Linked DNA regions of Rhinolophus ferrumequinum. The protein of the gene in region 4 purifies or fractionates together with the protein of the main gene of each other region. This does not show direct contact. Links are inferred from orthologs where the notes say so. Each region holds a gene or a part of one and is shown on either strand. Other genes may lie near its edges. The genes, in order: POLR3F, HECTD1, POLR1E and KPNA2.

The links.
Region 1: the proteins of KPNA2 (region 4) and POLR3F purify together in Homo sapiens (co-immunoprecipitation; 3 studies listed by BioGRID and IntAct, with this or other methods). This does not show direct contact. The link is inferred for Rhinolophus ferrumequinum from reciprocal best matches to the Homo sapiens genes KPNA2 and POLR3F.
Region 2: the proteins of KPNA2 (region 4) and HECTD1 purify together in Homo sapiens (affinity purification with mass spectrometry; 3 studies listed by BioGRID, with this or other methods). This does not show direct contact. The link is inferred for Rhinolophus ferrumequinum from reciprocal best matches to the Homo sapiens genes KPNA2 and HECTD1.
Region 3: the proteins of KPNA2 (region 4) and POLR1E purify together in Homo sapiens (affinity purification with mass spectrometry; 3 studies listed by BioGRID and IntAct, with this or other methods). This does not show direct contact. The link is inferred for Rhinolophus ferrumequinum from reciprocal best matches to the Homo sapiens genes KPNA2 and POLR1E.

The regions. Positions count from the first base shown.
Region 1 is NC_046306.1:38,711,265-38,718,534, reverse strand, and holds the start of POLR3F (DNA-directed RNA polymerase III subunit RPC6), read right to left. Parts: upstream 3,024-7,270; 5' UTR 2,864-3,023; coding exon 2,733-2,863; intron 2,018-2,732; coding exon 1,900-2,017; intron 1-1,899. Other genes in the region: DZANK1 (double zinc ribbon and ankyrin repeat-containing protein 1), read left to right, coding at 5,543-5,651. UniProt on the Homo sapiens protein: DNA-dependent RNA polymerase catalyzes the transcription of DNA into RNA using the four ribonucleoside triphosphates as substrates.
Region 2 is NC_046289.1:80,128,516-80,136,207, reverse strand, and holds the start of HECTD1 (E3 ubiquitin-protein ligase HECTD1), read left to right. Parts: upstream 1-4,692; 5' UTR 4,693-4,998; intron 4,999-6,400; 5' UTR 6,401-6,421; coding exon 6,422-6,561; intron 6,562-7,692. UniProt on the Homo sapiens protein: E3 ubiquitin-protein ligase which accepts ubiquitin from an E2 ubiquitin-conjugating enzyme in the form of a thioester and then directly transfers the ubiquitin to targeted substrates.
Region 3 is NC_046295.1:53,175,338-53,182,560, forward strand, and holds the start of POLR1E (DNA-directed RNA polymerase I subunit RPA49), read left to right. Parts: upstream 1-4,211; 5' UTR 4,212-4,323; coding exon 4,324-4,399; intron 4,400-5,004; coding exon 5,005-5,108; intron 5,109-6,383; coding exon 6,384-6,460; intron 6,461-7,223. UniProt on the Homo sapiens protein: Component of RNA polymerase I (Pol I), a DNA-dependent RNA polymerase which synthesizes ribosomal RNA precursors using the four ribonucleoside triphosphates as substrates.
Region 4 is NC_046304.1:43,076,538-43,083,597, reverse strand, and holds the start of KPNA2 (importin subunit alpha-1), read left to right. Parts: upstream 1-4,056; 5' UTR 4,057-4,214; intron 4,215-4,956; exon of another isoform or gene 4,957-5,050; intron 5,051-5,301; 5' UTR 5,302-5,324; coding exon 5,325-5,399; intron 5,400-5,550; coding exon 5,551-5,688; intron 5,689-6,822; coding exon 6,823-6,911; intron 6,912-7,060.

The DNA.
Region 1 (7,270 bases), on a different chromosome or scaffold from region 4:
GTAAGTAATGGGTGGGATGGGCTCTTAGAGAAGAAGCTCTGGCCCAACCTGGGGATTTAGGGAGGCTTCCTGGAGACAACAGCAGAGCAGAGTCTTGAAGGACAATGAGGAGTTAGTCTGCGAATGGGAAGAAGGGCTTTCTAAGCAGGGAAGAGAGCATCAGCAAAGGACCTGAGACATGAAACAGCATGATGTGGCAGGGAACCAAAAACAATCTGTTCCCTCTGAAATGATGGAAGATGAGGTGGGTGAGGTTGGTAGGGGCTCAGTGTAGTCAGCCCATGAGTTTGGAATTGCATCTCTAGTGTTGAGAGGGTTTTTGTTGAGAAAGTGACTTGGTTAGATCTGTATCTAAAGACAGATCAGGCTGGCTGCTCTGAGATAGATGGAGCCGGGAAAACTACTTAGGATGCACTGTAATAGTCCAGGTAAAAGCCAAGAGCCTAAACACATGAAGGGGTAATAGGAATGGAAATAGGTGGACAAATTTGAGACTTGTTTAAGAGCTAAAATCAGTAATACTTTGTGATTTATTAATAATTACTCCTTGCTTAAAATTCTTCAATAGCTCCACTACTACCTATTGCCTATAGTCAATCGAACTGGCAGTAGGTGGGGTCACTAAGGTGATGAAAGAGAGGGAGTTGCTGAGGACGATTTTCAGACAGAAAAGAAAAGGCTGAAAGGGTGGTCAGAGGACAAAAGCATTTTCCATTTCCACAACCTCCCAGCATCCCTTCCTCTATCCTCCTAGATTTGAAGACCTTCACCATGGTGAACTACCTAGAAATCACCATCAGTCCTTTTTTCCTTATGCTAAAACTGGGGTCGGCAATCTGGCCCACTGCTTGTTTTCATAAGTAAAGTTTTATTGGAACCCAGCCACACCCATTTGTTTATATGGGTGGCCCATAGCTACTTTCCTGAAGAGTTGAGTACTTATGACAGAAACCATATAGTTTACAAAGCCTAAAACATATACTATCTGGCGCTTTATAGAAAAAGTTTGCCACCCTGAGCTAGAAGGTTGGAAAAAACAGTTTGACAGAAAGTTCACCTGTCCTCACACCTCCATATCCAGAGCCCTTGGATCCAGAAATCCAACAAAGCTGGTAGATTTAAAAAGCAAATAAGCTTTCAGATGAGTCCTCAGTATAGAAATCTTTTACCTAGTTGCTACTAAGACAAACTGAAATGCTCTCAAGATATGGGAGTTTTGATGATGGGTGAAAGGAAGTAGGAGAAATAGGTAAGAGCATGTGGCACACTAACAGGTGGGGTGTTTTTAGACAGTAGAGAATGACATTAGGGCCCCAGGAAGAGATAAGAGCAGGTATACGAAATATATCCCCCTGATATATAAGAGCAGGTATAACAGAAGAGGTAAGAGCAGGTACAAGGGCTTCATTGATAATCCCATCTAAAGTGTCACTCGGGGCTGAGCCTGCACTTCCACCCAAAGGCCCAGCACTGTTGATATTCAACGGGACTCATTCTCGCTTCTAGAAATGCTCACTGAGATTGTAAGAGTGATACCCTAATGAGCTGGCTTTGTGATGACTCACAGAAAAATCAGGGGAATGTATTTCGTATGGAAAGGCCCAATATCAGCAGTAGGAAGAAAACAGAAGATGAGAACAGACTATGCCTATGTGCCTTTAGGTATCTTAGCGACAATTATGTTAACAAATACAACAGTGAAAACAAAATACATTTATTTCATTCATCTTGTAAAATAATGCATAATTACTTCTTCTTTGCTCAGTTCTGGCAGTCTGAGTTGTTTCCTGGTTTAGAATCTTATCAGTCACAACCTTCTAACGTTTTCATGACTAATAACAGAAGTAAAGACAATCGTAATATATAAGTAATTACATGAACTAGTTGGATTCATCTTACCATGGACAAAAGTCTATTGATGGCCACTGCCCGCTGCTGGGCTTCTATATGAGGCATTTCATTCTGAATTACTTGGTCTGTGATTCCATGAGGGAACTGGTGACATAATTCTATAATCCTACGAACAAAGATATTAATGATATTACTCATGTTTTTACTTATTTCAAGAGACAGTGGGGGCAAATACTAGCAGAACAATTTGAAATTGTGTCCTTTTTACATTTGGTACATAGTCTGGCTTCTATGATGGTTCTAAATCAACGCATGTTAGAAATTGAGGAAGATGTTTTTGAAATACGTTTACATTATTATTGTTATTTAAGGAAAATATGTTTTCCTCATTAACATAATCTTTAAATTAGAATAAAAGTCAAATGAAAACACAGAAAAAGATATTAACGCTGCGGCTTCAATTTTTTAAGATGCAATAAGTATGACAAAATTAAGATACAGCATTGGGCAGGTATAAGTCTGCAAGCAGGAGTCATATCAGACATTTCTGGTGGGAAGCCAAAATTGGTTATAACAATTCACAATTGGGGCGTGGTTTTGGAATTATTCCCACCAAACAAAAATAAGCCCATTATCTTCCCTCTGTCACAGGATCATCATGTATGTTATTCATAAGTTTGAGGAAGTTGGGATCTTTTCAAACTATGTGGTAAACCTAAAAATAGCAGTGCACTCATAGAGAATATAACATCAGGAATATAACATTTGACGTGCCCTAAAATCTTGACTTAAATACTGCCCCGAAATTATTTTTGGATTAATGTTGCTTCGTAATCACTAATGCACTCTAACTTCGCCCAAACGTTCTGTCCTGACAGTTCCCATAGCGATAAAGGCAATCCTGTATGAGAACACGTATCCTCAAGCACCACGCAGAAACACCGAGTTTTCTCTGAGCGTCGACCACCTTAACGCAGGAAGGAAGCGCATCATCACAACTTCCGAACAGCATCCGGACACCGACACAAAGTTGCAAAGTGTCAAGCTCGTTTTAAACTTATTAAGAGTTCTGCTGTCCACAGGTGGAAGGTGTTCAGATCCGGTAATCCCCTTCCTGGACGCTCACTGAACTTGCTCCAGCATCTACTGACTGTCCCGAAAAAAGTCTGCCCAAATGACCGCCTGCCTGCGTGGGCTCCCGAGCCGGGAATCGAATCTCACTGATTTACCTGTTTTCTATTTCGACTGGATCTGCGTCAGGCGGCTGCATTTTCACCTTCACTTCAGCCATGGGACGCAGTTCCCACCTCGGGGGAAAAGAGACGCACGGAGCAGCCAGATAGCGAGCTGGGGATCCAGAAAATCGGCAAAGACAGCTTCAGGCGCGGGCGATGGGTCTTTTTCCTCGTGTCGCAGACGGTCCTTCCTTGCCTGTGGGCTTGAGGTGCCCAAGCCACGCCTGTTACTCGTCACTGGCTGGAGCCGCTACACCTTATTCTTTTTTACCAGAATGTCAGTGTCTGTCAGACGAACGAGCCTGGTTCCATCATTCTGAATTGGAACGCCACTTTTTAGCACTTTCCAATCTCTGTGAAGGCATATTCTTGGATGCCTATGTTGAAACCTTAGGAAAGGAGATTCAGGCGGATTCCCCTCTCCTAGCCAAACAGCAGGGCGGATCTGGTTGCTAGGAAGCCGGATTTCCGCCAATCATCTGCCCAACTCAGTGGGCGGGGCGCAGCTCCCCGCGTCTGTGGTAACCCAGACCGTGGCAAAGGAGAAGGCAAGAGGCAGTGAGAGGTGGGTTTACTGGCTGCCAGTGGCGGAGGCGCCTTAGGGGTTACAATCTGGGTTCCGGTAGCCAGAGGAGGAGGAGGGCATTCCTCACTCCAGCCGAAAGGAAGCAGGTGTTTCTGGCTGCTCCTGATGGGCGGGTACGCAGACCAGACGGGGCTCCAGATTTGGATCCGGTGGCAAGCAGGCAATGTTGTTGGGGTTTGGAGGTGCTGTTTATCCTACCCTCCATTTGGGCCTAGCGGATTGGTCTCCTTCTTGATCCTCTTCGCTTGGGGCCCATTCGCCGTCCCAGCCTCCCAAGGGCAGCTCCTAGTTGCCGCGCGCGAATTACTTCCTCCTCAACTATTTTTACTTTGAACTGATTTTGAACTACTTTAACTGCCTCTCACATAAATGGAAAGTGAGGACTGACAAGCCTCCCTAAACCAGCCACCCTTCTGTAGGGGCTAGTGCTCTATCAGTATTTGCAGTTCAAATTCTTGGCCTCTGACCTGGAGCTATATAACCAGGCATTAAGATCACTCCTTAAATTTAGTTATCCCAGTTTTGGGAATACAGCCTGTGACAAAACTCACGCCACAAGAGCATCGTTATTTGGAATTGTAACAACCAAAACTAAAAAGAAACTAGTTATATGTTAAATGCCCAACCACATATTGATAAATAAGATTATATGAGTAGGTGGAAAATTGTAAATAACAGAAAAATTGCAAATAATAATAGAGCGAGGGTGCAATAACTAGACTGTAAAAAAAGAATGAATATATAGATTATAAATGAGCAAGACATGTATTCATAATTTGAAAAGGCTATTTAGAGATGTAAATGGTTGCTGTATTAAGGTGAGGGTTATTTTTTTCCCTCTGAATCCTTTAGGTATTAAAAATTATGACACCTCTCAGGAAAAAGATCAGTAAGATCTCCACACTCATACTTAATTATTTATAAATATAGTAGATGGAGTGGGAGACTTTTGTTACCTGTTGCTCACTGTTTATGTTGGTACCAACTTCCTTTCTGCTGAGGTGTGATAATCTGCCATCCTCCTAAAGTTTCTTTGCAGGTAACAAATGTAAGTACTTGGCTACAACTGCAGGACCCTGAACCTGGAGCTTTCTCAAAGGACTTGGCTCTAAATGAACATACTACATGCTACTGTGTTTCACCGAAAATAAGACCTAGCCGGACCAGCTCTAATGAGTCTTTTGGGACAAAAATTAATGTAAAACCTGGTCTTATTTTACTATAAGACTGAGTCTTATATAATATAATACCTTATATATAATATAATATAACATGATAAGATATGATATGATATAATATAACTTAATATATAATATAATATAATACTGGGTCATATATTAATTTTTGCTCCAAAAGATGCATTAGAGCTGATGGTCCGGCTAGATCTTATTTTTGGGAAAACAGGGTACATACAGTGTTACTTCTGTTTTTCCTGTGTGATGACTTGCCCTGAAGCCAAGAGAGGTGGGAGATAAATAAGAGTCAGGAAAGTGTAATAATAATGATCCAGAGGAAGCTCTGATGAGATCATTAGTGAAGGTCTCTGTTCTAATATATTCATTTAATTTGGCCATTTAAAATAATTCCATTCCCCCATCCCATTCATCCATGCTCTTTTCACAGAAGTAAGTATTTAGATAATCAAAACAACACACAAGATCTCAACAGCAAAAATACAGCTGAAACAATAATTATTTCAATTAAAAATTGAATAATATTTGTAGGTGATATATTAACAGTATTCTCTTTAGCTTTTTCTAGTTTTACTATATTTTTGTAAACAAGGTGTTTCTCTTCAGCTTTTGTGTTGAAATATAGGTGGCCATTGGAATTTATTTTCATACACGTTTTAAAAATATAAGCAGGGAAAATGACTGCTGGTTCAGTGTGTGTTCCTCAGATCATACCACTGCGAGTGCCTCAGCCTGGAAAAGCCAACCATGAAATTGATAACAATACACTTTTGGAAATGAAATCAGGTAAGAATCAAAAGTACTCGAAATCGTTTAAAATAATATTGCCATACTCTTTATGTTCATCTGGTTGTTGATTTACCTCTTTGCGTGTTTTCTATAATCAGGACCTTTGGAAGTTTTTAAAACTTCCAAAATTTGAAACAGTGTTACTTGGTGGTTTGTAGAGTGGTGTGTATTTAGAGTGAAACAATTAGCTTTGATCACCCTTTCATTTGTATAGGTCCATAGTTGCAGCAATGCCTTGACTCACCTTCACCAAGATAAGATGCCTGGTACCATCCCAATAATGAGGATGCTCATTATTTTGCTGGGATAATAAATTTGATGTACTTATACAGGCTTTCCAGTCAGACAGGTTGGAAAATGAATCCTGGCTTTGACAACTTCTGGTGATCTTTGGTACATTACGTAGCCTTTCTGAGTCTCAGTTTGCTCATTGTAAGTTAGTGATAATATCTACTATTTAGAACCATTGTAAGGATTAAATGAGTTGATGTGAGGTACACAGGGTCTAGCATATAGTAATGACAAAATATATCTTAGCTATTATTACAGAAATAAATCAGTGAATGAATTCCCTACTAATGCCAGAAGTGTGTGTGTGTGTGTGTGTGTGTGTGTGTGTACGTGTACACACACACCTTTATGTACTTATACATAACATAAGAAGGAAGGAAAGTTTTATAGATAAAGCATGAATAAATACTTGTTTGAAACAGACTTTGAGATTCCAGTTACATACTTTAATAACTGATATGTGTGAAAATTATTTATCTCTAGTTATGTTACAACCACTATGCTTCGTAGACTGAGAGTTCAAACTAAGAATATATTACATTATACCCTGTCTCCTTTATCTTAAAAGCTAATATTTTTTAAAATTCTCAGAGCAAAATACAAATTTTCATATATTTGCCCATGATTCTTAGATGTTGGATGGTTATTGACAAATGATGATATGAATGAGAGGGTATCCAAATTCTTTAACATTTAAAATGTCTAATAAATAAGAGGTTCTACAATTCAGTGACAAACAGAATAATAACCCAATGGAAAAATGGACAAAGGATGTGAAAGGACATTTTATAGGAAAGGAAATATAAATGTCTTTTAATCATATGAGAATACAGTTCTAACTACCCCTTTATCTGCTTGCTGAGCAGACCTTATCCCCTGCTTTCTTCACTCCATTGCATTTAATCACCAACTCAACAGAAAATATATAATTTTTGCTTTTTGTATGTCTACTTTACTGTTTGTATGTCCTTCCTAAAACAGAAGCTCCATTAGAACAAGGAGTTACTGGTGTATTCCCCGTGCCTACAATAGTATCTGCCACACAATATGTACTTGGTAAATATTTGTTGAAGGAATGAATGAATCACTCAAAATGTAAGAAATGTAAGTTAAAACTGCAAGATACCTCTTTTTTTAATGTAGGAGATTGGCAAAAACAAAAGAAAAATTGATAACACACGATATGGATGAGATTGTTTGTAAACAGTCACTTTGATGCATTGCTGGTAGCAGTGTAAATTGTTTCAGCATCCATGGAGGGAAGTTTGGCAATATTAACCAAAATTACAAATACACATATCTTTAACTCAACAGTACTAGTTCTA
Region 2 (7,692 bases), on a different chromosome or scaffold from region 4:
GATAGCGATCTTTGATTGCATAGATATTAGGTTAAATGATGTCATAATTTAAAATTAAGAAACATTTCTATCAGATTGTCTCAAAACCAGTATATCAGTATTGCTTCCTTTATCCTCTTAGACTCCCATATATTTTTTAAAAACCATTTTTATGAGATTTTTCAAACACACACAAAAGTATACATACTAGTATAATGAACCCCCAAGTACCTATGACCCAGATTCAACAGTTGTCCTTACTATATGGCCAATTGTCTTTCAGGTATACTCTATCCACTGACCCCTCAAATTATTTTGAAGAAAATTCTAATTATTATATCATTTCATCTGTAAATATTTTGGTATGCTTCTCTAAGTGAAGAAAACTCTTTTTCAGAAAATATAACCATTATACAATTATCATAGATAAAAACAGTTATGGGCGGCTGGATGGCTCAGTTGGTTAGAGCGCAAACTCTCAACTACAAGATTGCCGGTTCAATTTCAAGATTGCAAACGGTGACTGGACTTGGAGCTGAGCTGCGCCCTCCACAACTAGATTGAAGGACAACTACTTGGAGCTGATGGGCCCTGGAGAAACACACTGTCCCCCAATATTCCCCAATAAAATTTGAAAAAAACAAAACAAAAACAATTAACAAAAAATCCTTACCAGCAAATATCCAGAAAACTTCAAAATTATACAATTATTATGTAATTATTTCCCCTAATACATATACAGCTAAACTGTATTGAAAACATGTCTACCAAAAAGTTTTGAAATCTGTAATAAGAAAATATATTTATACAAGTTCTTGAAAATTTTCTGTTGAATGAATTTTTGTAAATCAGATCCTACTTTCCTTTTATTCATTTAAATTTTTTTTTTTTAAATTTTTCGATTACAGTTAACATGCAATATTCTATTAGTTTCAGGTATATAGCACAGTGGTTATACTTCTGTATAACTTACAAAGTGATCCCCAACAAACTTAGCACCCACGTGGCACCATACATAGTTATTACAATATTATTGACTATATTCCCTATGCTGTACTTTACATCCTATGGCTATTTTATAACTGCCAATTTGTACTTCTTAATTCCTTCACCTTTTTCACCTAGTCTCCCAACCCCCATCCTATTTTTCTTTTAACTAAGCTTATAATGTAATTGTTATGAACCCACGTTTGCTAATAAAGAGTAACAACCTTTTTATTTATTGGCAAGAATAATTTTCCTCAGGACAAAGGGTATAGGATGTTTACGAAGAGTTAGTAAATTATAGAAGGGTTTTTAGTGTTGGAGCAAAAATAACTTAACTAGGAATATAAAGTGCATAACTTTTACAACTGTTTGTTTTTGTGTTCACTACCAAGTGATATATGGTGCATATAGTGAATCTTGTAAGAAATTGTCAAAATTCTAGAATTTCTTTTTAAATACATCATTTTGAGTCTTTAGAAAAGTGCTTCCTAGAAGACAGTACTAAGAATTAATCATCTCAAGCTATATTTACTTTCTTGTTCTTTAACTTCTAATTTTGAATGAGTTTATACATTGAAAACGTTGCAAAAATAAATAGATTTCATATATATATATATATATATAATATATATATATATATATATATATATATAATATATATATATCCTTCACCTAACTTTCCCAAATATTATTACTGGGATGCCACAGTTGAAGTAAGTGAATTTTAAGAATGCATTTGATATTTCCTTTCAAATCTTAGATACAAATATGTTTGTTCTATACTACAAGATTCAATTTTGGTTTTTCCTTTTTGAACCTGTGAATAGATCCCAGTGACTATATATACTGAAGATCCTTCATGAAAGTGGGGCCAAAAGGCAGCCTGTTCCCTCTGCTTCCCCAAGAGGAGTTCCTTTCACACCTCTATGCTTCTCCACATGGTCTTCCTAAGTCTGTCTGGCCAGCTCCAACATCTAACATCTGAGATCTAGTTCACATACCATTTTGAAGGCTTCTGAGATGCCATCACCTCCTTTTTTAGTATATGTGCTGCCGTGGCGAGCACATCATTATCTCCTTGATGCTCCCAATGTCCCTGACAATATTGTGTGATAAGTACTCTCATAGAGGCAGAGGCGGGAAGTGTGTTACCTTCCCCTAGACTTTTATAGTTTATTGAAGTCTGTAATTTACTGTGCCTTACACTGTGTCTGGCATATAGCAATTCTCAATGTCCATTATTCTTATATTTTGACATCAAGATGAAACATTAGCTTGTAAACATATGCTGTTTTCTTGGGACATACCTTTAAGTATGGTCAGTTGCCTTCATCTGGGTCTTGCTTTCTCCAGAGCTTTATTCCTTTCCTTTAATGCTTTTACTTTGGGATCTCATATTTGAATTTAAAATATTAACATAATAATAATAAAGTCACAATAAAAGTCATCATTTTTTTTTGATAAGGTTTCTTTAAAGCATACTACAGTCATTAATTTTGGTGGCAGGGAGTGGGCAATAGGGATAGAGATGGTGAGGGAACAAAGGAAAATATACTTTAAAACTTAGTAAAGAGTAGTCTCTTTTTCTCTTCTATTTTCTGTGAACAGAATCATCATTTTCCTAGCTTTCAAGTCCTCCCTGTAGGTTAAAAAGCAAACCGAAGTTAATCATTTAAGGTGTGATATATTTTTAGAAAATATTTTTCATACTTATTTCTTCTCCATTCTTATTGTCAATACCTAAGTTCTTCCTCCCTCCACTACTGGAGCATTTCAGCAACATTCCAGCTAATCTCCTTGTCTCGGTTGCTCCTTTTAGCCACTCTGGACACTCCTGCTCTGTCAATCTTTCTAAGACTCTAATTTTTCCAGTCAATGTTCTATCCAGAACTTGTTAGTTACTTCAGCCTAAATTTTGCGTCCCCCACCCCCACATTTAAGGCCCTGCATACCTTAGCCCTTGCCTTCTCTCCTCTTTGCTTAATGCGGGTTCTTTGCTTGGGGCACAGGTCCTCTTTCCTTTATCTCAGAACTTATCAGGCTTTGCTTGTAATCTTTCCCTTCTCTTGCTGTGTCTACATTCTACCCATTCTTCAAGGTCCAGAAAGAATGCCACTTCCTCCTTGAAGATTTTCCTGGCGTCTCCAAGTCACATTCATAGCTCCTAAATAATTATTCTCATGTTTTGTGGTTGTGACAAGATAGTGGAATCCTCTACCCTTTTCTCTTGATCTGTTAACAGGAAACCTAGAGACCATTACCTGAAGACAGGAACATGTGATTATAGATATCTGAAGTGCAAATCTGTAATTTCCAAAATACTGGTTCTTCGACCCTATGTTGCTTAAAGACCCTATGATTGCTTAAAGAAGCACATCTCAAACACAATCTAATAATATTCATTTTTGTTTAAAAGATGAAAAGGTAGGGAGTATCTGGCATGGGTTTATTTATCTCACAAACCAAGGAATTCATTTCTTGATTTTAAAAAAAGAAAGCAGGCCGGCCTGGTGGCTCAGGTGGTTGAAGCTCCGTGCTCCTAAATCCAAAGGCTGCAGGCTGGATTCCCACATGGGCCAGTGGACTCTCAACCACAAGGTTGCTGGTTCAACTCCTCCAGTCCTGCAAGGGATAGTGGGAAGTGCCCCCTGCAACTAACAACTGGCAACTGGATCTGGAGCGGAGCTGAGCTGCGCCCTCCACAACTAAGCCTGAAAGGACAACTTGATGAAGCTGCTGAGTCCTGGGAAAAACACATTACTGTTCTCCAATAAAAAGTCCTGGAAGTACACACTGTTCCCCACTAAAGTCCTGTTCCCCTTCCCCAATAAAATCTTTAAAAAAAAAAAAAAGAGAAAGAAAGCTATATTCATACTTCCAATTAGTTTCTCCCGAAATATCTCCAATTATGTCCTTTAAGCGGGCATATTTTATTTTCAATGCGTTTGAAAGATGTTTGAAGGGAATAACCACGGACATACTTAGGAACACGAACCGCAGGAGTCAAAAGCACACTCTCAGTGCTGCTGCTTACTGGGAACGCCACTGGGCCTGAATTTATGCTTTTTGGAGCCTCAGTCCTCACATCTGTACAACGGAGATAATTTCGATACTATTTACTTCCCAGGCTTGTGGTGACAGGTTTTCGTTTCCGTGAGCTGCGGCGCAGTTTGCATCCATGGACCGAAGGGAGCCGCTTTTCCTCCCGCGATGCACTTCCTTGCGCGAGGAAGGGTGACCAGTGGGGTGGAGGGGAAGCGCGTGGCGGAGTACAGGTCGCCCGGCTGGAGGCTCGGCAAGGACAACTTGGGCGGCAGCTTCGCCGTGCAGCACGGGGCCTTCAGCAGCAGCGCGTTAAGCGTGTAGACGCCGTGCAATACTAGCAGGGCGTGCGTGCATCAGTGTGCGCGGGCTGCCGGGAGCGCGCTCGCATCGACTGCAAAGCGTAAAAGCGCCGCGGCGTACGGTAGAAAAGCGACAGCTGATAAAGCCGAGGGAATCCGAGGCCCCGGGGGCCCGAGCGCCTTGGCTGTGGCGGCGACGCGTCCTGCCTGTTGGCGCCTCAGCGCCGCTGGCCGACGGGTGTCCGCAGCGCCCCACGTGGCGGCCAGCCGGGTCGCTGCCAGGAGAGCCGATTTGCTCCGCCCCCGCGGAGCTCAGCTGCCCTGCTCAGCATCCCCGCCCAGCTCTCGCCCGACCCTCTCCCTTCCCCCTCTCGGATCGCGATGGACGCGGCCTCCCCCCGCCGCTGCTGGCAGCACCGCGCGGGCCTCTGAGCTGCGGGGCCTGAGGAGCCGCGTGCCGGCGACTGGACTTGAGCTGGCTTTCTCCCATCAGGGAACCTCTCGCTTTTCTGTCACCAGGTCCCCGCGGAGGAAGGGGAGGGACGAGGCGCGGCTTTTCCTGTGCCGCCTGCCCGGCTCGACCTGCGCGGCCTGCGGCTTCCTGGGAACTCGAGGGCCGCGGCCGGGCCTGGCTCTGCCCGCGGCCTGCTTGGAGCTGGACTGGAGTGGTTTGGAACGACAAGCCCGGGTAAGCTTGAGGGAACGGGAGGCGGGAGCTCCTTGGGCGGTCGGAAGGGCCAGGCCTGGGGGGGTCAGGATACGGGATGCCGGGCGACGGGCCGGGAGCGAGAGCTCCCGGACCCTAGTGAGGTCAGGTGGGCTGCTGCCGACTCACCCGCTTAGCCCCTTTGTTTCTCTCCCCTGGCCCTGCCCGCGGCGGGGCCCGGCTTGCGAGAGCCTGAGCCCAAGGCGGCCCCCCCTTGCCCTTCAGAAGGGTTCGCTGCCGGGCCAGGCCGGGGACGACCCGCCGGGCCTCGGGAGTTCAGGGCGCCGCTCCCGGGAGACCCGCTGTCCTGCCCCGCGGCCTCCTCTCGGGCACGGAGGCTTGCTTTTTCTCCTTCAGAACTTCCCCCTTCTCCTAGACACAGGTAGCTAACTTGGCTGGGTTTGGTGCGGGGAAACCGGAGCGCGGTGCCTGCGCCTCCCGGCGCGGGGCTCGGCTGGGCCCGGAGTGTTGGGTCATCCTGCTGGTCGCCGCCGTTGGGTGCCCACTGGTACCCGCCTCTGGATTCAGACACCTGCAGCTGGGTTACGTGGGACCTAAAGCTGTCCTCTTGTCAGGGAGTTTACAAGCTTTGGTAACGACTTGCCTGTTGGGGCTGCTTCTCTGTTTTGTGTATATGGTGTATATTTTTAACCAACTGCTCCATTCTGCGGGGATGGGGAAAGAGGGACATAGCTAGTTCATTGCATTTACTTTTAGCATTTCTTTTTAAACTTTGAAGAACAGTTGCTAAAACTGCCAAAATAATCAACCAAGTCTTTATTCATAGATAGATTTTTCTATCTAATTATCGTTTGTATTTGGAGATCTTAAGAATAGCAGTAAGTAAATTGAGAAGTCAGCAGAATTGTGAAATTAGAGCTAATTTTAATGCAGAAACTTAATTTGGAGGGGGATGGGATCAAACTGCTTAACTCTCCTCAAAATACTGACTCTAACCTTTATCTTAAGATCAGTTTTGGGTGGAGGAGGGGGGAAGAGGTTTGCTGGAAAAAAAAGAACCTTTAGTAAGGTGTTCTTTGCCTTTTGGCACAGACGTTAGTGATAGCAGTAGTGGGATCCGAAGCTTGTTTGACTGTCTTTGACAAAGACAGCTCTGGTTTCCAGTTAAGCAGCAACCTAATCAGCTTATACTCTTGTGCAAAACTGGTTTTTATTTAGTATGATATATGAACGTTAAACCTGAGGAATAAGGGCAGTTGAAAAACTTAGTTAAGCACTATATCTAAACATACTTATGAGTCTTTTCTAATTCCTAGGAGTACATCACGAAAATTTGGTTCTAGCTGATATAAAGGAAAAAATTTTAAACCCAAGCTGATCAGTCCTGGACATTTAAAGGACTTTTTCCCTTTTTTAATTTAAGCAAAGAGGCTTTTAAAAAACCATGGCAGATGTGGATCCGGATACATTACTGGAGTGGCTACAGATGGGACAGGGAGATGAAAGGGACATGCAACTAATAGCCCTTGAACAGCTATGCATGCTGCTTTTGATGTCTGACAACGTGGATCGTTGTTTTGAAACGTAAGTACATCCCTTCTTCATCTTCCTTTGGGGTTGCTGTAATGACATTTGTTTTCAGCCATTTGCTGACTTCAGTTTGTGTAGAATTTTTTCTAGGGAGTTTTACAATTTTTTTTTAACTTTATGCAGTTTTGCATTTACATTTTTCTGAGAAATAAAAATTGGTATGTGAAGTAACTTGAGTAATGATAATTGTCATGACACAAATACATGTTTGTTGAATGAATAGGGTTTAGTAGGGAGTACTATTTTAACCCATACCTTGGTTGATTCATTTTCAAAATATGTCACGAACTGGGAAAATACAAACACTTTCCTTCTTTAAACGTAGCTATTTCTGTACCAAGAAATTGATGTGGAAATATAGATGATAATGAAAATATGTTTACAACTGCCCATTTCTTTGTAGGTATTAAGTAATATGACATCATATGTTTGTTACAACAAATCATTGATTTGTAAATTTCAATTTGGAGGGTATAAATTGGATGTTACCCACATAGTATACTTTTTGGAATAGTAGGAACATTTTGAAGTTTGGAGAGTTTAAACAATTTTATTTAAAGGTTATACTGTAGAATTTGTGCAAAACTGTAAAAGAATTTATTATTAGATTGGCCATTAATGCCACGTTTTTCCTCTTATGTGATACTTGCTGAGTAATCATTCTTCTGAATGCTGAATACATTTGGTTTTTACTGTTTATTTTACATTTTGTATCTACCATTTTAAATTCCAATAATAAGTAAATGAAAACTCACTTGTTTCTATATTTGTTTTAACAACCATTTTGAGATAATTAATAGAAAATATTTGAGGTGTTGACATAAAATTTGGTATAATTATCTTAATTTTTCTGAGGTGGCAATAAAGGCTGTATTACTCACTAAATTGACAAAGTATTTTTAATTGTCTACATTTTTGAATGAATAAGTATTGAAAATGAATTAATAAATTAATAATTCTTAGTTGTAAATCTCATTAAAACAGTCTACTATTAAGGTAAAGATCCTTATAAACAAAATTTCTGAATCACAATCTGTTAGCAGCCCATTTATTTCAACTAGCTCTTCTTATTGACAAACTTTGAGTACATCACAATTCAGCCCCTTATTTGACATTTGTTTTAGC
Region 3 (7,223 bases), on a different chromosome or scaffold from region 4:
AAAAGATCTGAAAATTTTTGGAGTCAAATTTGACAGTGTATTAAGATTTAAAAAAAATGTTCATGCTCTTTGACTCATTAATTCAAATCCTAGGATCCCAACCAAAGAATTTATCCAAAAAAACCCAAACAAAGTTTTTATGCTTAAAAAGTTCATGTAATGTTGCATGTAACAGTGAGAAAATTGGGAATAGCCCAAGTGAGCAACTAAAGCATTGGATGTATAAACCCTGTGGCAACATTCAATGGACTATCGTGTGATTTGAGAAAATGCTTACAAGATTATTTAAAAATTTTTAAAAGGAGGATACACAATTGAATACAATAATGTATCAGTTATATAAACATATGCAGATATGCAGAGAGACAAATCTAGAAAGGAATAAAACAGAATGTTAACAATGTTTGCCTCTAGGTGGGGAAAGGATCATGGGTTACTATAATTGCATTCTTTATATTTTTCTGTATTTTTCCCAATATTGGACATCAAAATTGCTTTGATAATTATTGTAAATCTAAAAAATGTTGGGAAAAATAAAAAAATCTGAGTAAGCTAAATCTAACACGATTAAACTTAGGCCTCACATAAAGCTCTGAATCTTTGTTTTTTAAAAAAAATCAGGGATGGGGTTACCAGTTAGCTCAATTGGTTAGAGCGTGGTGCTAATAACACCAAGGTTGCTGGTTCAATGCCCGCATGGGCCAGTGTGTGCGCCCTCCTTAAAAAAATAAAAAAAATAAAAAATGCAGGGATAATGTGACTTAGCAGAAGCAAAATCAAGAATTTTGGTTTATCAACCCTAAACAACTTAACTGAACAGTGTAGATGCTAAGAATAAATTCACATATTGGTTTCATTAAGAGAGGCATGGCAAATAGCAGAAGGGAGGAGATGGGTCCTCTTTATTCTGTGTTACCCAGCCCAGAGTTGGAGTATTGATCCATGTGGTGCTCCAGTTTGAAAAAGATCCAGATGTACTAATGTATGTCCCAAAGTGGTGACCAGATGAAGACAGACCTAGGAACTCTGGTGTGTGAAATAGCTGAGGGGCTGGAAAGAGTTGCTGAGGAGCAAAGGAGCAGGTCAGTGGAAAGTATGGTCAGAGTAGTCAGGCTTTTGAAGGGCTCAGGGCAGAGGAGTTGGTCGTGTTCTGTGTGGCCCTAGAGAAGCAGAACTGGCACCACAGGTAGAAGCTACAGAAGGCAGCTTCAGCTCCATGTAAGGAAAAACCTAGCCAAGGTGAAAAGTCTGCCTTATAAGAAATGAGTCGTCCATGTCTATAGGTGTACAAACAGAATCTACATCAGAAATATGAAGGAAGAGAAAAACAGAATGGAGAACAGAAGAGTGAGACAAACACAGAAAAAGAAACAAAGGGATAAAAAATTGAGGCAGAGGCAGAAGAAAGGAAGAGAAAAGATGAAATAGAAGAAGAAACATTTTTGACAGTACACAATGAGTGGCTACAAACATACTGTGGGATCTTGTCTGCCTTTTCAGGCCTTCATTAGCGATATCTTGAAATGCCAGCAGATGGAGATATTACCCCAGGAAAGGAGGATTCTGCCTCATCCCTTACTTTCAAAATATATATCAAGTTTTCCTCTTCTGAAAAATGATGCTAAGAGACAACTCCAGAAGTCGATGAATTTCCAAACCAAATTTACAAACAAACATTTATGGTAAATTCTGCCCGTGATTACCCTGATTCGAATTTAGAAGAGGTCACTATAACTTTTTGTATTTTGGTCACTGACTGAGTGACCAAATATTGTCCTGTCCCACTTAATGTATATGTGTATTTATATGTATATGGTGTATATGTGTTTTGAATCATTGCGAAATAACTAAACAACATAGTCCCGGTCTCAACCATCCTGTCATTAACACTTTCCTTCCCCAGATAGAATCTCTGTCACTTTGAATTCTTGCCTGTGGTAATTCTGGGAGTCTTTGCTCTAACTCCATATGTGGTACTCTTGGCTCTTTCACCCAGCTATAAACAGCCAATTCTGAGGACTTGAACAGACTTTGTCTGACTGGTAAAGATGCACCTTGAAAGGGAAACAGTCTTGTACAAGAGTGCTTCCCAAGCATAAAGTGCACAGAAATCACCTAGGGATCTTGTTAAAAGTGCAGATTCTGATTCAGATGACTTGATAGGGCAGGAGATTCTGCACTGCTAACAAGTTCCCAGGTGATGCTGCTGGCCTGAGGACCACACTTTGAGAAGCAAGGTCATACAATATGTCCCTTTATCAGGAGGGGCCAGGACACTTCCCTCATGAACTACAATTGACTCCTTGTAGACCCTCCTGTCTTCTTTGTCACCCCTTAACTTTGATCTAACTGTTCATATTTCATTCAACCAGTCAACACATACAGAGAATCTACCATGTGTAAACACAATGCAAGTTCATTTTAACCAATATTATTAAGTATCTTGAGTTCCAGTCCCTATGCTAGGCTCCTAGGATTAGTGATGATTCAGAAACCAGCTTGATGGGGTTCCCACTGCCTAATCTGGGAAAGTTTGAACATAAAAATAAAAATAAATGATAGTAGCATATTCTAATCTACTGAATAAAGTAGGAACCCATAAATTCATACTGATATAATTAATGAGTGAATAAATCAGAAGTATGATGAACAGGATACGATTTACTTAGTCTCTAAGTACCTGCATACAAAATACTTATTAATTACAAAGGAGAAAGAATAACATTACAGTAGTAAAGCCTGATTGATACCACTTTAATTAAGTGATCAAAGTTAATATAAACAGTAATGGGACAAATTGAAATTGTGTGCCACCTGATAGGATACAGTTAGAACAGTCTCATGTTTGTGATATTCCTGCCAACAATGCATAACCTGAAACTAATCACTTGGAAACATTAGACAAACCGAGACTGAGCAACATTCTACAAAATAACTAGCCTGTAATCTTTTAAATTGTCAAATTATGAAAGTCAAAGTAGAGTAAGGAACTGTTCTATTAATAGGTTGAAGGAGACTAAAGAGCTATGACAGCTAAATGCAACATGTGAGTCTGGACAGGATCTTTTTGCTATAAAAATATTAAGATAGTTGGTGAACTTAAATGGAGTATGATGATTATATGGTAGTCACATATCAATATTAATTTCCTGATTTTGATGGCTGTATGTAGTTATTTAGGGAATGTCCCCTTCTAAGGAAATGCTATAGTCTTCAGGGGTGATGAGTCATCAGGTTGACAACTTACTCTGAAAGGTTCAGGTCAAAAACAAATTCTTTGCACTGTACTTGCAATGTTCCTGTAAGTTTGAGATTGGGAAAAGCATTACAAGTACTCAAAGGGCAGCTCAGTGTTAGGGTTATTCAAAATATCCTGGGTGTGTGTCTGGAGGAGATGAATCTTAAAGGAGATTGCAGAGCAGAGATGAGTCAATCCGAGTTCTTGCCCTGCAACAGTACTTGCCTTTGACAGGGCAAAAGGGGCCTCCTCCTGGGTCTATCCTTAGGGATTCTGCTTCGGCCCTTCTGCTTTGATAGCTGCCCATGTGGAGGGTTGAATCTTCAGGGACTATGGGACTTACCCATCAGATCCAACTTCCCGCCTTCTAGTCCACCGGAGAATCAATCCCTGTCCAAATGCTCTTGAGCCTGCTGAGCCTCTCCCAGGGTCCATCCTCCCTGGGTTGGTTGGACCACAGGTGTATGCACGCCTGGGCCTGAGGAATGATCAGGGCTAGAAGCTGTTTGCATGGTTGTGGACGAAACTTGGATTTAAGGACTGGATGTCCACGTGTGGATGGAGGCCCTAGAGACCAACTGCTCTCTTGCCAGCTGCCACATTTAGCTGGGGCTCAAGGAGTGCCTCTCAGAGAATTCTAAATTTGAAGTTGGCCTTTCAGGTCTGGTAGTATATATTTGTCACCATAGGGGAGATAGATCATACTCTACGTAGATCGTGCTGAGCAGGAAGAAAACCCACATGACTGTTAGGCAAAAGCAGCACGACTTTTAGGAACTTCGGACCCTTGTCCCACACAACCCTTCTTGCCCAGGCGGAGCGCTGAGCCAATCCGGTGGAGCGCCTCCGAGAGGCCGTCCAAGGATGAGGCGGGGCACAGTGTAGAGACCACGCCTCTGTGCGGAGAGGCGGGGCGACAGGCAGGCGGGGATTGGTGCGCCTCCGCGCTGGGGGCGGGAGCGCGGAAGGAGCGGTGTCTTGTGGGCCACGCCTGTTCCGGCCCGCTGTGCTACCTCGGAGTGTGTGGCGACCCGCCGGTGGCTCGTACTGTCTTAACTCCCGGGCTTGGCGGCCGTAGAGACGAGATGGCGGCGGAAGTGTTGTCGAGTGCGAAGTGGCTGTACTGTGGGGAGCCCGACGAGAGCCAGAGAGCTGTACTGGGTAAAGACTGCGGAGCTGGAACTGTTCCTCATAACTTCCGCTCCCGTTTCTGTACCTTTACAGCCCTCCCGCCCCCCCCCCCCCCCGCGCCGGACCCCTTTCCCAGCCGCGCCAAGAGCCCCTGCCACTCCCCACCACCCTCCTTTGTCCACCACTACTTGGAACTCGGCCAGGGCTCCTTTGTCATCCCACCACGTTTCTGCCGCTACCTCCCTCCCTGCTGAGGACGTCCTGTCACTTCCTCCCCAGGACTGTACCCAGGATCCTGTCATCCTCTCACTCCCGAGGTCTTAGTCCTGTTCCATTTCATTCTCTCCCCTGGGCAGGGATTCCATCGCTCTCTAGGTCTGGATGAGGCCTCCTCAGTTGGCCCCATCCCCCTAGTTATTCCTTACTGCCGCCGCCCCTCCCCAGGACCCCCTCACCTCCTCATCCTCTCTTCCCAAGTGGACCAGGACCTTCTTCAGTCCCACTTCAAGTCAGGACCTGGGCTTACTTGCCATGTTCATTTTTCCAATCACTCCCTCCCACTGACAGTCCAGTTCCTCCCACCATACCTTGTGGGTCCTTCTGATCTCATCCCGTCTGGGAATGTGATCTTACAGTCCAGTTCTCCAATGGGAAGCTGCGGGATCCAGGCAACATGCGCTTTACCTTGTACAAGAACAATGACTCCACAAACCCCAGGAAGAGGACCCAGCGGATCCTGGTAAGTGCTGCAGTGGCCAGTTGCCTCCACTCTGCAGGCCTCAGGACCCCTTGAGTGTGGGTCGATGTGGGAGGGAGTGAGAGGAGAAAAGGGGGAAATCGCAAATGAGCCTTTGAAGAATTCTTCTGAGCTCCAGCAGGTAGGGGTGTGGGGACAGGCTCCATTCAGTTCCATACTTTGGGTGAAGCGATAGCCTTTCATTCATTTGTTCATTCAACAGCATTTATTGAGCATCCACCTGGCCACACTCTGCGGGAGCTCGTATTCTAGAGCAGGGTTTCTTAACCTTGCTGCTATTGACATTTTGACCCAGATAATTCTTTCTTGTGGGGGCAGCCCTGTGCATCACAGGATGTTTAGCAGCTTCCCTAGCCTCCACTCACTAAATACCAGTAGTACCTCCTAGTTGTGACAACCTGAATGTCAGATATTACCAAATGTCCCCACGAGTGGGAATTCCCTGGGTTGAGAACTACTACTGCTCTAGAAAGGTCTTTGAGATTTTACCCAATCTCAAAGACAGAGAACATTGCAAGTTCAGTGCTTACAGAAACTTACAGAAACATTGCAAGTACAGTGCAGAGAACTCTAGAGAGTTGAGAGCTGGATGTGAGGGACACTCATACAAACAGACAAAGCTTAGGGCCGAGGGAGGGAGAGTACAAGGCACAGTGAGCTCCATCAACATCTCTGCTTGCTAGAGTGTCTCCCTGGGAGGGCACATGGAGCTGAGCTCGGAAGGATGGAGGAGGGTTTGACAGCTGAGGTTTTAGTATTCCAAGTGAAGAGAATAGTGAGGACAAACATTGTGAAGCAGTAAAGCTTGGCTGTGGTTGAGAAGTGAATCAGCCATTTCCATGGTCCTATGAGCATATAAGGAACAGTCATGAGAGAGGTGGGCAAAGAGGTTCAAGAAGGGTATGGACTGTGAACCCAGGAGGTTGCCTGCAGAATCAGTTTATTAATGCCTGTAAGTGTGGAGAGTCCAGGGTCTGTCTTCCAAGTTCTGCGGTGCAGCTTCCCCAAAAACTTTTCAGACCAGCTAGAAGCCTGCACAATCTGCAGCTTCCCTTTCAAAAGTCCTCTTGCCTTTCCCCCAGGGGCATCCCAGATTCACTTAGAGATAGTGAGGCTGGATGTCTCCTAGAGGCTCTGTAGTTCTGATCTTCTGTAGTTTGAATTCTAAAGCTTTTTGCAAATGTGGAAAAGGGAGATTAGATGCTTACTACCTTTCAACATTGGTTGCAATGGAGCTTTTCCCCCTGTGCATTTTAGGCAGCTGAAACAGACAGACTTTGCTACGTGGGAAACAATTTTGGGACTGGAGCCCTCAAATGCAACACTCTGTGCAGGTAGGGACAGGGGAAGGGACAGCTGGATGGGGAGGGGAGTGGTGGTAGCAGCCCTGGTACTGACTGCTGTTCTGTGTCTACTTTAGGGGATGTTTACTTTAGGGGAAGTGGGGGAAATCTGGAGAGGTTTACCAAGTCCCTGTGTTCCCAGAAGCAGGGGCCGTCACAGCAGCCTGTAGACATTCTTGAAAAGAAAGTTGACTTACATTTGTTGAATTTCCTGAAGAAAACCTCATTCGTTTGTAACATTCTTTAAAAAATTTTTTAAATTGGGACATATAACATTGTATTAGTTTCAGGTGTACAACATAATGATCAGATAGATATGTGTGTAATGAAATGGTCACCAAAATAAATCAGGTTAACATCCATCACCACACATAGTTACACATTTTTTTTTCTTGTAATGAGAACTTTTAAGATTTTCTCTCTTAGCAACTTTCAAATATACAATACAGTATTGTTAACTATAGTCACCATACAGCACATTACATTTCCAGGACTTAGCTTTAACTGTCTTGTTTCCAAAAGGCAACTGTCTTCACTAATATGGAGTGTATGATCAGTAGGCCAAAGCTTGCCAGAAGTTTGCTTTAGGAGTAACTACAAGGAAAGGATTTGGTAGTGTCAAAGGCTCCAGGGTTTCTATGCAGCTCTGCCTCTGATTGACTGTCTGACTTTGGGCAATTTTAACTTCACTGACCCCCGGTCTCCCCTGGGGTACGATGAAGATTGCCCAGCCAGAATGGTCTATAACTTTCAG
Region 4 (7,060 bases):
ATTTGTGTGTTGTAACAGCACAGCTGCTTTTCTATAAACTCTCTCTAGTACTGGAAAAAAAATGTTTGAAGCCAGCACAGTGGGATCTGCTCACACACCCCTTGGGATAAAAATGGGGAGAAAGTTTTCCATGTGTGGCTGCCATGGTGAAACAGTACGAAACGGAAGACAGAAATATGTCTGGTCGGCTTTTTTCTTTTGAAAGTCAGTAAAAGTTAAGCAAGAAAAATGCTCCTCTTTGGAGTCAGATCTTAGCTCTTTCTCTTGCAAAGTTCCAACTGTAGTGTTTTTAAAACGCGGAGATGCATTTCCTAACTGTAAATACAATGGTTCTCGAGCTCGCTAGAGACGTGAAATAACCACATTTCAGAATCTACCTTTACTGTTTCACTGCCCATCATCGTCTCCCTCTCCACCAAAACAAAACTCCGTGCGACCCAGATGGGACTCGAACCCACAATCCCCAGCTCCGGAGGCTGATGCCTTATCCATTAGGCCACTGGGTCACCACAGGATCCGGGTTCTCGCACCGTCTCCTTACGCGATGCCATCATCGCGCCCCGCCCTTGCGCTCCGCAGCCTCGCATCGGGCGGTGAGTATTTTGGGAGCCACCCCCCCAGCGGCGGCAGCGCGCGCCTGCGCCTTCATACATCCTTGACCCAGACAGCAGGCCCACCCCGGCGCGCGTGCGCGTGGCTCCCCTGCCCCTCTTCCCGGGACTGCGTGGCCCGCACGCGGGCGGCGTTGTGCCTGCCTGCTGGGTTCTTGGAAGGTTCTCTGCTCTCGTTGCATATTAGGCGTTTCTGGGGAACTTCAAACAAAATTCCAATGACTGTACTCCCCCCGTTGTATTTCTTTTTACCTGGGCGAGCCCGGGTGTCTGCATTTTACGAAGCTCCCATGGACCTTCTTCTGCCACCGGCCTTAAGAACCACTAGCAGAGCGTAAGGTCCTCCCGCAACCCCGTCCCCCAACCTTCCCATCCCTTACAGCCACTTCCCTCTCTTTCTTGCCCGCACGTATTCCACGTTCATTAATTTGATAACCTATTACGTACTGTGGACTGTTGGGGGATTCCAGGGTGAACAGCCTTTTCTTTAAATCTGCCCTTCTTACCCCACTCATCTACATCTATTTTCCTCCCCATCTCCTCCTTCCCTCCAGATTAAAGGGAAAATGGATATAACAAGTTTCCTACATATAATACAAAAAATATATGGGTTTCTTTTACATCCTAAAGCTTGGTCTTGGATAGATGTGGAGACTTTCTGGTTCCATGCACAATATCTCTATGCTTGTTGCATGTAAAGATGCTGTATTTGGGGTTTTAAAAATAAAAAATTTCACTTTCTTTTTAGACACGTAATACCTGTTCATTAAAACTGTGTAATATATAGGTAAACCAAATGAAGAAAACTGACCACAATTCTACCATTCAGAGTTAAGCACTATTAACATTTTGGTGTGTATCTTTTAAATCTTAGGTGTCTATGTGTCATATCACTGTTTTGTTAACCTGTGGACCACGAGTCATCGAGTCACCCTGGAAATGTTTTTCATGAAAACTGAGATATTATTAGTAAATAATAATTCATGAATCATTTAGCTCTGATGGTGCAGAAGCAATGGTAGGTAAAACTGACACTTTAGTGAATCTAGGCAGTGGCACCAAACAGGTAACAGTGGTATTTTCACCTTCCTGCACTGGGAATGGCAGGGTGGGGGGAACCAGCTTCACGTAAGAATGTCCTGGACTATGTATAAGAATCATCAGTTGAATTACGTCTTGACTCTTGAGTACATGCTGTAAATATTTTGTGTGACAAATGGGAAATATGCATAATCATTTCTGCATACCAAAATACAGTGGTCTCTGGAGGAAAACATTGGTGCAGTGTTTGAGTTGCAGGCTATACTAGCTACTTTTTCACTGGAACACAGTGTTTACTTGAAAGAATGACTGAGACAAACTAAGATTATTCAGATTTAGGGGTGGCCAGTTGGCTCAGTTGGTTAGAGCGGGGTGCTGATAACACCGAGGTTGTGGGTTGGATCCCTGCATGGACCACTGTGAGCTGCGCCCTCCTTAAAACAAAAACAAAAACAAAAAATTCTGACTTGGTCACATTTGGGTTTGCTTCTCCAGAGCAGCTGCATTCTCAGTGTCACATCATCACAGCACAGGATCACAGCACAGTCCTGTGCCAGAGAGAGGTTATGTCACTCTTAAAGGCCTCAGTAAACATTTTATTGCAGTGTCACTGTGTTAAGGCTTCATCACCAAACCAATCCCTGTGTGTGGCTGTGAGGGGCGGGGGTGGTGTATAGAATATACTGATTGGCCTAGGCCTGAATCTCCAAACTACAGTGGTTAATAGTGGAGGATGTATGGTTCCCCAGGGCAACATTGTACATTTCAAAGGCAACTTTCACTTTTGACTCTGTATTTCTGTTGTAGGTTGTTTTCAGCTACAAGTGCAGAATAGTGGTTGAGAGCATGGATCCTGGAACCAGACAGCCTGGGTCTGAGTCCTGTCTCTGCCTTTATTGGCTGTGTAAACTTGGACAAGTTACTTAACCACTTATGATTCAGTCTTCTGTAAAATGGAACAGGTGATAATACCAGCTTACAGAATTGTGAGGATTAAATGTATTAATATATATAAAACACTTAGAATATGTCTGGGCATATAGTACTTAATATTTGCAAACAAAAGAAAACTCAATTTAGCTGAAACAACAAAAGAAGTGTATTGGATGACGTAATTGCAAAGTCATAATTGCAGCCTTCAGAGGTAGGGCAGGCTGTTGATCAGAGCTTTCCTGGTTTCTCTACAACTGTCCTAGTCAAATTTCTAGGACTTATATCCTTCAGCTCCGAACAGCAAACAGCACCTGCTTTCCCACCTCCAATCATTAAACAAAAGGCATAGCCTTCCAAACTGGATGAATTTAGGTCACATGCCTGCCCCTGAACCATTCACAGTAGTCAAGAGAATACCCTGGGGTGACTGGTTTAGGAGTGAATTCCTTTCATATTTTTGCATTTAGAGGGATGGGATTCTGCTGATTGAGTAGGTGGGAGTAAAATCAACCTCCTATGAATCCCATTGCTGCTACACAATGAGTGAGGCTGGCACAAATGCCTACAAGAATGAACAAAGTTCAATGTTTGAATTTATAGTAAAAAAAAAAAAAATCGCAATATAACTTTTCTAAAAATACCCTTTTTAGAATACAGAAAACTTGCATAAAGAGAGCAAAATGGCCCATAATCCCGGTGCTCTAATAACCATCATTGATACTTTAAAAAATATACGTGGCAAAAATACAAACATTTTATTCAGAAATGTGTAAAATACAGCATAGAACATTACTGGAACGGTTGGCAAAACTTGAACACGGATACACACACACACACACACACACACACAGCAGCAGCAGCAAATAGCAAATGTGGCAAAAATGTTAACATTTGGCAAATCTGTGTAAAGATTTGCAATTCTGTATTTGAAATTATTTAAAAATAAAAGTGTCTAGAGAAACAGGCATAATAAACCTTTCGTTACCATATTTGTGGTTTCTATGCAGTCTTTTATGACGCAAGTTTTTTTAAAAAAATTTTTAAGCCACGCAAATGTGCCATATGCCTCTACTTCGTAACTCCATAACGGCCAGAAACCACTGCCAAGTTTCTTCTGTCCTATCAGGGAAAATATGCATAGCAATATGTTTCTATGTAAACATTTGTGAAGGACATGATTTTGGGAATCATTTGTAGTACTTGGTTAATCAGGGAAACGACCAAGAACTTCAAAAGCACAAATCCTTTCAAAGGCCACAGTCTCAGGCCAAGGCTGGGCTGAGAACCCGTCCTTCGTGCTGCATGCCGGGATTTGAAGTCTTTCCACTCCAAACTGCTAGGCGCTCTGGGATCGCCCGGCCGCTCCCTCATCTCGCGATGCTATCCTCTTTACGGCTAGGCCGTACGACCCCCGCTGCAACGTGTTTTTTAAATCCACCAATGGACGCACATCATAGACTCGAACCAGCCAATCAGAATGCGGGGCCACCGGGAAATTTAAATCGCGCCGGCCGGCTGCTCGAGCCACACTGTCGTCTGGCTGATCCGTGGTGTTCGTTGCCGAGTAGCGGACCCGCAGCCTGTGCTCCCCTGCGCCGTCTCCTGTGGAAGCCTGAGCCGGCTGTGTAGGTACGAACTCAGGTCCCAGCCCGGCCCGAGCGGTAACGGCTGACCTGCAGGCCGCGTTCTGCTTACGGGTGGCGGGAGGCGAGGCTCCGGGTACACGCCCGGCCTGGCTTTGGCCTCCTTGGTTGACTAAGCCTCTGGGGCGTCGTTTGTTGACGAAAGGGCTGTTCCGCGAAGTGAGTAAGTGCTTGGGCTTTAGGCCGCCGAAACTCGGCGAGTTTCATCAAGATCCTTTGCGCATCGGGGCTCGGAAAACAAGAGTGAGGCCGGAGGGTCAAAGTCCCGGGAGGGGGCGGCCGATTAGCTCAGTTGGTTAGCGATCGTGCTGGTATTCCCAAAGTCCCGGAGTGCGCCCAGTACCTCTGGCCCCTCCTGTGGCGGTTACCGGCTGTATCTTCCCCGGGGTGGGGGGCAGGGGAAGGGAATAGAGATGGAGGTGGCAGTTGGAGAAACTATCTCAACACGTAGGCCTTGGGTTGGCTGTGTCAATTTCGTAAACGAACATAAGGGAATAAAGATAAATTGTAAGGCGCTCTTTTACTTTTGTTACCTTTTGGAGATTGCTCATAAGTATCTTAGTCTGAATAATGTCAGCCTAATTAAGTGCATTTACTCGAAATTCCTGGAAATGAAAATGTAATCGAGATTCAGAATTGTGTCGCAAATTTTCAGTGTTGACAAGAAATGTTACGGGAGACTCCATAATGTAATAATAATGAACCAAATTTTTCTTTTATTTTTCAAGTGTGGAGAATGTGCCTATTTTGGCCATTTAAAGACAATAGAGAGAGCCTCCAGAGAATCTGAATGTATTTGCGCCTAGGACATAGATATTGACCGTAAGCTCAGTTCGCCTACTTTGTCTTCAATTAACTATTTACAGACTCTATATAGTGGAGTCTAGAGCCACACTGTCCAGTATATTAGGAAAGGCTTGTGGCTAATCCGAATTTTGAATGCTGTAAGGTTAAAGTACACAAAAGATTTTGGAGAATTAGTATGAAAAAAGTGTGAAATACCTATTAATGCTTTTCTTACTGACAAAGCAAAATGATAAAAGGGACATTTTTTTTCTCTCCCCATCTTATAGCTTTCTCCCTTTGTCTCATAACGATGTCCACCAACGAGAATGCTAATTCACCAGCTGCCCGGCTTAACAGATTCAAGAACAAGGGAAAAGACAGTACAGTGAGTACTTTCTGTTACTTTTGTATAGTATTTTTTGAATGGAAAATTATTTGGGAAGGGGTCAAAACTCTGAGGGAATTTGGAAAAAATGCCCTCACTTTCTAACAAAAACTGAAATGTTAGGTGAAGTGGTATGTTATCTTTTCCCAAGGAAATGAGGCGGCGCCGAATAGAAGTTAATGTAGAGCTGAGGAAAGCTAAGAAAGATGACCAGATGCTGAAAAGGAGAAATGTGAGCTCGTTTCCTGATGATGCTACTTCTCCACTGCAGGAAAATCGCAACAACCAGGTAAATATGTTTTAGCTTATAATTGTTTGAAAATATTCCTACCTTTATGGTTCTACCTATAAAATCTGTGAAGGTTTCCTTTTTGCTCTGAATCAGTAATTCTGATGGGTTTTCTTTCCTACCCATCTTCATAATCTGTTGAAGCTGATTCCAAGGTCTTCTGTAGTTTTGATCTTCAAGTTTCCCTGCGTTTACAGCTGCCAGCTCGGTACCTTGACCTGGCCATTCCAATACCACTGAAAGTGTGTCGGGAACCAATTGCTTTCTGGATTATTTCTACCTTTTGTTATTCTCTATTGTTTGTACTTGTCACCAGTTTTGTTCATGTCTTTTTCTTCTTGAAATACTGTTAGTATTCTTCTAATTTATTTTCCTTTTCATTCTATGCCACATACTATCTACCTAAAAATTTTCCTAAAATACTGCTTTAGACATATTCTTTCTTAGCTTAACAACTTTGATGGTTTTAAATCGCTATTTTCGAAGGCTGTTTTTGTAAATTTGATCCAGCTTAGATTTTCAAAGTTATCTCGTCTTTCAAAGATAATTGGGCACTTAATTGTTTTACATTATGCTTTCTTTTAGTGCTCCCCATTCTATCATTCAAAATTGAATACTACTTATGTGCTATTTCTAGAGTATTCTACTTAAATCCCATCTTCTCAAGTTAACTATAGCATTGTTTCTCAAACCTTTCTACTGTGATCACAACATAAAACATCTTTGCTGCGCTATACTTGGGAATGTGTCGATTACAAGGTTAGATAAGAAAATCCCCAGCACATTATTTATAACTCCATCCCTTGTTCCCTAAAAGCGTATCTGAATACAAGTGATTGAGATTAATGTCGGAATAACCTTCAGACTGCTGTAATTTTTTAAATTGTTCACAGTCACCTTTTTTAGTGACAAAATGCTGGGATACTCTGTAACTTGAGACTCCAGTAAGTCATGACACCAAGTTTGAGAACTGTTCAACATATAAAATAATATTTAATTAACAGGCAAAGTTAAATATAGGGCTAATACACATTTAGTAATTCATTATAAACCTTAAAATGTCTTCACAATGGCAAATAGGAATTTTATTGTTTGTATTTAATCTTACAAAGGATAATTCCATTGTTTTTGTAGGGCACTGTAAATTGGTCTGTTGAGGATATTGTCAAAGGCATAAATAGCAACAATTTGGAAAGCCAGCTCCAAGCTACTCAAGCTGCTAGGTAAGTCTTGTCTGTTATACATGGGTAACCTAAGAACTGAGCCTTTTTAGATTTTTTGGTTGGAAAGAGATAGATGGTGTGGGTAATGGTTAAGCCAGCCATAGTCCTGTGTTCGTTAGAATCTTCCTTTGGTGAAACTAAAATTTTCT